2 linked regions of the Caenorhabditis elegans genome follow. The protein of the gene in region 2 interacts with the protein of the main gene of each other region in a pairwise test. Each region holds a gene or a part of one and is shown on either strand. Other genes may lie near its edges.

Evidence for each region.
Region 1: the proteins of skr-4 (region 2) and fbxa-167 interact in a two-hybrid assay, tested with the Caenorhabditis elegans proteins (one study listed by BioGRID).

The regions. Positions count from the first base shown.
Region 1 is NC_003280.10:13,639,338-13,644,385, reverse strand, and holds fbxa-167 (F-box domain-containing protein), read right to left. Parts: upstream 2,898-5,048; 5' UTR 2,825-2,897; coding exon 2,628-2,824; intron 2,578-2,627; coding exon 2,494-2,577; intron 1,568-2,493; coding exon 910-1,567; intron 857-909; coding exon 662-856; 3' UTR 563-661; downstream 1-562.
Region 2 is NC_003283.11:19,922,330-19,925,838, forward strand, and holds skr-4 (Skp1-related protein), read left to right. Parts: upstream 1-1,894; 5' UTR 1,895-1,923; coding exon 1,924-1,986; intron 1,987-2,043; coding exon 2,044-2,289; intron 2,290-2,361; coding exon 2,362-2,532; 3' UTR 2,533-2,704; downstream 2,705-3,509. Other genes in the region: Y60A3A.16 (non-specific serine/threonine protein kinase), read right to left, coding at 69-265.

The sequences.
Region 1 (5,048 bases), on a different chromosome or scaffold from region 2:
CTTTATTTAACAACCAGCCACTTTTCAGCGAAGAAACCTTGTTTTACGTTAACTTTAACAACTCATACAACTCATTTAACAACAACGTGCGAATAAACGAAATATTAACATAAAAGCTCAACTAACAAGGGGCTCGTCAGAAAGGGCCAATTGGGCTTGCATATGAGACCTAGTCATTCGATAATTTTTAGCGGCGATACTCTAGAAGCAAGCTCACAGCGGACTTTCAAACATCCTAAAAATAGCACTATATCGAGACGAACTTCTCTTTTCTTCAATTTTTCAATTTTTTCAAAAACATTCAAATATGAATAGAATGCTTATAAATAATGTTATTATCACAATTTTGAATCTGAAACACTCTTCTTTTGCAATTACATTTATGGTTTTTTTTTAAATGATTTTTTGATCTAATTTCTGTAGTTGCCCATGTATTTTCATAAAAATTGTGGACACGGGGTTTTTGACATTTGGAATCGAATGGCATTAGCCATTTTTTCAAAAAAATTTCAGAATGTGGTAAAACGGAAAAATTAAGGGGGAAGTTGGGCGCACAGTATTATATTTCATTAATAAAACTTTATTTCTGAAAAGTATCTAAACTCAATTTATGGCAACAAGATATATAAATAAGCGTGGAATTATGACTGCTAGACTCCTTTTATAGCTTCCGTTTAACATAAATTTCCTTGGAACACATAGTTATTTCAAATGAGGAATTTTTAGTCTTGAAGTTGAATGTGTTGTTAGCAGCGTCTGTATATTTTGGGTTGAATACTTTTCCGATTTTTCGAGTATCTGTGTTAAGGACTCTGAACGTTCCTGATCTGAAGTCAGAGGTGCGGAGTTCGAGGGTCTGAAAATCAGAATAAAATTTAATTTAGGGTCAAACATTTTCCAGTATTTCACCTCCTTAACCTTAACCGCATCCTGAACTGAAAACGATTTCAGACGAACATCAATTGATTGAAAGTGCAGCAAATCTTTAATATCCATCTCAATGTCTTCATGACTCGATATATCAAGTGTCTTTGCTGTCTTCCATTGCTCCAGCTCAACGAGCTTCTCAATTCCAGACAACTCTTGTATACTGTACATTGATAGTTGTATCTCTTCAACATTTTTCAGGTTTTTGAGAACACTAGATGTTTCGTGGAAGTTTAGTCCTTCGAATTCAATGTTCAGAACATGGGGTTCGGAATTTTCAAGCACAGTTAATAATTCTTCCATACACTGGGTATCCTCTTTATTATGCTCCAAAAAGTCCAGTCTTAACTTTTCCAGCTTCAACTTCGGGCTCTTCAATACCCTAGACAGATAGTTCAATGCAACAGTCACATGAGAAACTCCTTCAATTTTCCAATCCTTTGAATCCTCGTATTGCGACATTTTAGTAATTACACAATCATCATCCACACGTTTACATATAATATCTGTATAGTCACTTTCATGATAGAAGCATACATGTACGTGGTTTGGAATAGAAGTCACTGAGATGTTGGTGACCTCGTTGACGTGATCCTCGGCGATGCTGCGGAAGCATGGCGAGACGTTGCGGAGGAGAAGTCTGGAATTTTGAATTTTTGGAAGTGTTATTTGAAATATTTAAAGTAGGGCTTTCAAGGCAGGCCCGGCTTCAGGGCCTCACGCCTGTCTGAAAATTTTCTACATTTTATGTGAATCTTCAAACTTCAAATTTTGTCATTTCTATTAATTTGTCCATTTTCCAATTATGAAATGAAGCATAAGGCGCGTTTTGAGGCGAGAGGCAGGCGTGGGTCACCTTAAGGTCAGGCCGGCAGGAGTTTTAACGCCTGCCTGCCTGACCTTATGGAAGACCTAATTTAAATTTTCAGATACTAGTATTGAAATTACTTTATAAGTTTCATAGTAAAACTTTTTATTTTTTTGTTAATTTTAAAGTTTTCATATATGCCGGAATTAAAAATTTCCGGCAAATCGACAAATTGTCGGAATTGAGAATTTCCGGCAAATCGGCAAGTTGGCGGAATTCAGAATTTCCGGCAAATCGGCAAGTTGCTGGAATTGAAAATTTCTGGCAAATCGGCAAGTTGCCGAAAATGAAAATTTCTGGCAAATCGGCAAGTTGCCGAAAATGAAAATTTCTGGCAAATCGGCAAGTTGCCGGAATTGAAAATTTCCGGCAAATCGGCAAGTTGGCGGAATTAAAAATTTCCGGCAAATCGACAAATTGCCGGAATTGAGAATTTCCGGCAAATCGGCAAGTTGCCGGAATTGAAAATTTCTGAAAAATCGGCAAGATGCCGGAATTGAAAATTTCTGGTAACAAATCGGCATACCGGAAATTTGCCGATTTGCCAAATTTGTCGACAAAAAAAAATTGCCGAACGGTAATTGCCGCCCACTTCTGATCATGCATATATTTTTTGCTTAATTTTAAGAATATTTTTTTAAAAATCCCCACGTCCAAAAAACATACATTTTCAAAGAAAAACATTTTTTAAAACTAACCTGTCCAGAAAATTCAAGTTTTCCACAATTTTGAACAATATTTCAATTGGCAACTCGGATAGCGATGCTGTTTTTGGTTCCCGGCTGAATTTCTTTCTAATAAATTACATTTTAGAACTTATCTTTACACTTACCTCATATCATAATCCAAATCCTCGTTTCCATGATAAAATCGATAAAACCAGCGCTCAAATTCTCGATATTCCATAAAATCATTTCCAAACGCATTGCAAAAATTCTTGAAAGACTCGAAAATTGGCCGCTTTTGGCGGACCTCGTAGAGAATGCAAGCTCGAATAGCAATTGGGTTGGTTTCCAGGATGGCAGGCATTTTACTGGACCTTTTTAACTTTAAAAACTCTAGAATTGGACGGAAAATCAATGAAAATGCGGGAAAATGGAAAGAGGGGAAGCAGTGGAGATGGAAAAGAGAAATAGACAAGAGAGATGAAAAATATGAGAGGGGAGAGACAGCAGCACAGAACAAGTGAGAAATTGGAAGTAGAATGATAAGAGTCGCATCGACCGGTAGAATACCGTATTCTTTTCATTAAATTGGGGACAAACTTTAAAAAAATTAAATGTTTGGTCGTTTTGCACCATAAGAGCAACAAAATGCTACCACCATTAAAAAAATTTTATAGTAGTTATGTTCATCTAGCAAAAAAGTGTCCTACCTAAAAAAAATAGCAGATTTTTTGTTCTTTTAGAAAAATGTATGGCCGTCTCTGTAGCTACGATATTCATTTCAAAAAACCCAAAAAAGTATTTTTTTCAAAATGCTACCATTTTTAATATTTTTGGAAATTCTTGCACATTGGTTATTATCATGTAGCAAAAAAGTGTCTTACCTAAAAAAATAGCAGATTTTTTCATCTTTTAGACAAATGTATGACCGTCTCTGTTTCTACGATATACATTTCAAAAGCCCCAAAAAAGTATTTTTTTTCAAAATGCTACCATTTTAAATATTTTTGGAAATTCTTGCACATTGGTTATAATCATATTGAGCAAAAAAGTGCCCTACCTAGAAAAATAGCATTATAGCAACAAAAAAAAGCTGAATTTCGTTATATAATTAAAAAAGAGCTCAAAATTTGAAACAAGTTTCTGTAAAAACATTCTGAAAAATGTTAATTTTGAGTGAAATATGAAGGCCCGGATTTAGTGAAATGTTTCAAAAATAATAATTTATCTGTACTGAAAACCAAAAATGAAAATTGTGTCCTTTTGGTAGAATTGAACTCATCTCATCAAAAATCACAACAGTAATAAGTCCCATACTAATTTTAAAGTTTGACATTCATTTTTGTGAAAATCTTGAAATTTTTAACTATGAGCTATTGAAATATTCCTTTTATTCCCGACAAAACCCTCCGTTTTGTTCCAATATTTGCCCATTATTTATTCATACACCCGTTTTGCACCCATTTTTGTGTATTCCGCTCGCGTCTTTTGTTTTTCTCTCTATCTCTCTCTCTCTCTCTAAATGTGTCACATTTTTGTGTGTTGCCCATCTTCTCCTTCTACGTTCGTTTTTTGTCTCTTGCCGCTCGCTGACCATAAACGCATTTTCTCTCTTCTTTTCGGTGTGTTTTCGGTGTAACTATGCTGAAAATATAATTTATTTTTGAAGTTTTAGCTTCTTAGGACTCAATATCTTTAAATTGGTTTAGAATGTTTTGTGATGACGTTGTCACAACCGAAAAATTTAATTAACAAGAATTATTGTTGTTGGAATTATTTTAACTTTCTAAAAATTCAGTTTTAATTGTTTTTGCCCATAAAACGCTGTTGAAAATTTTTTGCCAAATTAGAAAATTGCCAAAAATTGAAATTCTCCTCTAATTGCCCAACTCCCAAAATAAAACTTATCCCAAATTGGCAACTTGTCAAAATTTATACCTCATGCCAAATTGGCAGATGGCCAAAAATTAAAATTCTCGCCAAATTGGCGAATTGCCAAAAATTCAAATTCTTGCCTAATTGGCAAAGTGCAAAAAAAAGGAAATTCTTATCAACTTGGCACAATGCCAAAAATGGAAAGTCCGTCAATTTGGTAATATGGCAAAAATTCTAGATTCCACCAAATTGGCAGATTGCCAAAAAATGAAAATCCTAGCCAAATTGGCAATTTCAAATAATGAATAATTGCCAATTTGCCAGAAAAAAGAAATTCTTGCCAAAAATTACATTTCCGCCAATCCGGCAAAATGGCGAAAATTAAAATTCTTGACAAATTTGCAGATTGCAAAAAAAAGCTTACCTAATTGCCAAATTGGCACTATGCCAAAAAGGAAATTATTGCCAATTTGCCAAAAACTACATTTTTTGCCAATTTGGTAATATGATCAAAATATAAAACTCTTGCCAAATTGGCAAATTTTTTGGCAATTTGCCAATTTGGCGAGAATTTAAATTTTTTTTGCAATTTGCCAATTTGGCGAGAATTTCCTTTTTTGGCAAATTGGCAAGAATTTCCTTTTTTTTGGCAATTTGCCAATTTGGCGAGAATTTAAAATTTTTTTGCAATTTGCCAATTTGGCGAGAATTTC
Region 2 (3,509 bases):
ACATTTCAAAAAAATTATCCGTAGACAGGCATGTGAATAGGCAAGATGCGCGAAAACCTACCCCTTACTTCAAAATCTCATCCGGTTCCAGCATTGAAGTTTTCTTCAGGTTCCAAGTGAACCTCACTGCTCTCGGCATATCTTCCTGATCAGTCGTCTCCAGCGCAAACCCAAACCGCTGACGAATAGCAGCCAAAGTTTCAGACGCTTGCTGCCATTGGAATGCTCCAACATTTTCATCACACTCTTCAATAGGTTCCATCATTTTTTACTGAAATTGTACATATTTTTAAAATTAATAAAAAATCGCAAATTTATTACCCGGAAAAAAAAGAGTGAAAAGAGGGTCAATCAATTTTCTCTAAACAGAGATTAGCAACGCCAGAACAAATAAAATTGAAGTTCATTTCCAAGATAGCACACAAAAAATATGAACATTATTGATAAGTAGAAATGGCGAAATTTATTTTTCGTGGCACTACTTCATAGCAAAAACTAAATTAAAAGCACCTTTGCAAGAAAATGAATTCTTGATGACGTTGTGAAAGAAACACGATCATCAGATCAAACTAAACAAACTTTACTCAAAAAATAGTTTCTCATGCGTGGACACCGTCTGCTCTGTGATCACACGATTTGATGACAAAAACATAATATACAATATTTTGAATAACTCTCTTTCGTTCTTTAAGCTTTGGAAAATGCAAATTAACTGGATTCACCATTATGCTTCTAAAATAAGTGGCTCGTGCTCTTTTGTCATCAATTTATTAGGTATCTATATTGCTCATGACGACAGAAAAACTCATCTGGGTAATTATAGAATTTTATTAATTTTTCTCAATTTACAATATTTTATCTTCCCTGATCGACTTGTTGGTGCAAATGGTAAGGAGTTCGGCTTTGCAGTCCTATAAATTTGTTATTTCAGTCTTCTTTGGACCATAAATATGCATTTTCATATTTTATTACGGATGGAATTTTCGAAAAGGTAGTCTTTAGTATGCGACATTTTGCTGACTCATTGTGATTATTTTTTAAATGTTGGTTTTCTTGAAAAATAGTTACACAAAAAATCCAAAGTAAAATAACTCTAGTGGATGTTTTAAAAAAGTTCAAAATCTGAATATTATAAGAGCAGTGTACATAACATGTGCGCTGAAAATTTCTACAATTTTTTGACCCTCTGCAAATTTTTAAAAATTGATTTTAGCCTAACTTTAGACACTGTACAGCTACTTTTTTTTTCAGAAATCAAATTTCGGAACAATTGCATTATGCCTGAGAGGAAGCTTCATATTTTCTACATATCCGATTTTACATGCACATTTTTGTATCGTTATATGGTTCTTTTTAGGTACCTCTCACCAGAAAAACGTTGTATTTACATTTTTATTCTCAGAAGCTCCTTCCTTTCTTTCTATTTCATTCCTTATGGTATAATATGTTCAGTTTCGTATTGCTTAGCTATCATAGGTTTTACATTTACGGTTGGAAATTTAATTTTTTGATACAATAATTTCTATGTATTTTTCAGATGTCTTATTTCTGGATGGTGGCAGATACTGAGCGGTTAACATATATGCACGAAATTTTTTTTAACACTTCCTCACTTCTCTCTATCTCTCCTCCCTTCTTTCAATTCCTCAACCTCTCATTCTCAAGTTGTGTACACTGTTCCTATCAACACAAATTTCAACATTTAAGCGTAGCAATGTAAGGTTTTTAGTTTAAAAAGCAACGGAGGCATTAAGCATTCAGCTCACTTTTCAGTTCTTATCAATTTGAAAATGAAAAAAATATTTTCGTCTCTTTTCTGCTGAAAGTAACTTTCGAATTTTTTTGTCTTCTTGAGTTGACTCTTCGACTCTTGACTGTATTTCAAATTTTCCAGATTACACAAAGAAATCGAACATTTTAAAAATGTCAGACGCCGACAGCCAGAAACAAATCAAGCTCATCTCGTCTGATGATAAAACTTTCACGGTATTTTTTTAAAAACTATAATTTCCGTTAACTAAATTATAAAATGTAATTTTATAGGTCTCACGAAAAGTGATCAGCCAATCCAAGACCATATCTGGATTCACTTCTGAAGACACGATTCCACTTCCAAAAGTGACTTCTGCGATCCTTGAGAAGATTATCACCTGGTGCGAGCATCACGCCGACGATGAGCCAAAGAAAGTCGAAAAGATAGAAAAAGGAAATAAAAAGACGGTAGAAATTAGTGAATGGGACGCCGAGTTCATGAAAGTCGACCAGGGGACTTTGTTCGAAATCATCTTGGTAAATATTTAAGCTTTAGAACTTTTAATCTCTCTTCCAGAATGAAAAATAAAACCAATTTCCTTTGTCCAGGCAGCCAACTACCTCGACATCCGTGGGCTTTTGGAAGTGACCACCCAGAATGTGGCTAACATGATGAAGGGTAAAACTCCAAGCCAAGTCCGAACCCTGTTCAAAATTGACAACTTCTCCGAGGAGGAACTGGAGGCCATGAAGAAGGGGAACGCTTGGTGCGAGGATTAAGCTCCCGGTTAAACATAATTAACTTAAAATTTATCTGATTCGGTTTACATACCTCTTTTATGTCACTTAAAACAAATCAAAAATTATTTTAAACAAAACAACTTTGTTTGTCAAGTACGCTTTGCATTGCATCCAACAGAAAATAAAATTTGAATAAATGTATAACGCCTGTATTTTGTGGTTTGTAGTTTGTGCATGAATTCTCAATTTGCAACAAAAGTATCTTTGGCGGTCAAATTTGCAGCCAACTACGTTTTTGACTTGAAAAAAAAGTGAAAAAAATTAGGTTTTGGTTGAAAATTGGAAGTTAACTCTTTGCTCTTTTTGGAATTATTTTAACTGATCGAGAAGAAAATTGTTTGAAAAAATTGGTTGTATGGGTGAATCTGGAGAAAAATTAGGAAAGAAATTTGGGTTTAAACATTTGTTTTGAAATGAAGCAGTTGTAAATTTTATGAAAATCTCTAAGACAAGGCCAAAACCTAAGCCTAGTGAGCAAAATGGGGCAATATGTTCATATAACAGCATCAGAGAAATAGTCACAATTTAAAGAAAACTAATCACAATCTCACAAGTTTTGAGATCTAGGAGAGATTCAAGCTGTCTAGTAGAATAGGACTTAAGCTCGCCGAGAAGAAAGATAAGTCTGCCGGATTTCGACTTTGAAGACTCCGAGTGCAACTGATTGAGAAGGCCGATACAGATATCAAGTTGACGATCAAATTTGAGGTCTGCACCATTATTGGCTGAAAATCGGAATTGAAGAAAACTAAGAAGCTTCACTGTTAAACTGACTTTCCGTGAAAATCATGATTCCCTTCAAAAGGAAATAATCCTGCGCCGAAACTTTGAGGACATTGAATTTTTCAGCCAGTTGCGCAAATTTTTCATCGATGAAGATTTTTTCGGCGTTTTCAAACAATGCGAGGCACAAAAGATGTGGCCACTTGGTCAAGATGATCTGACTCTGGAAATAT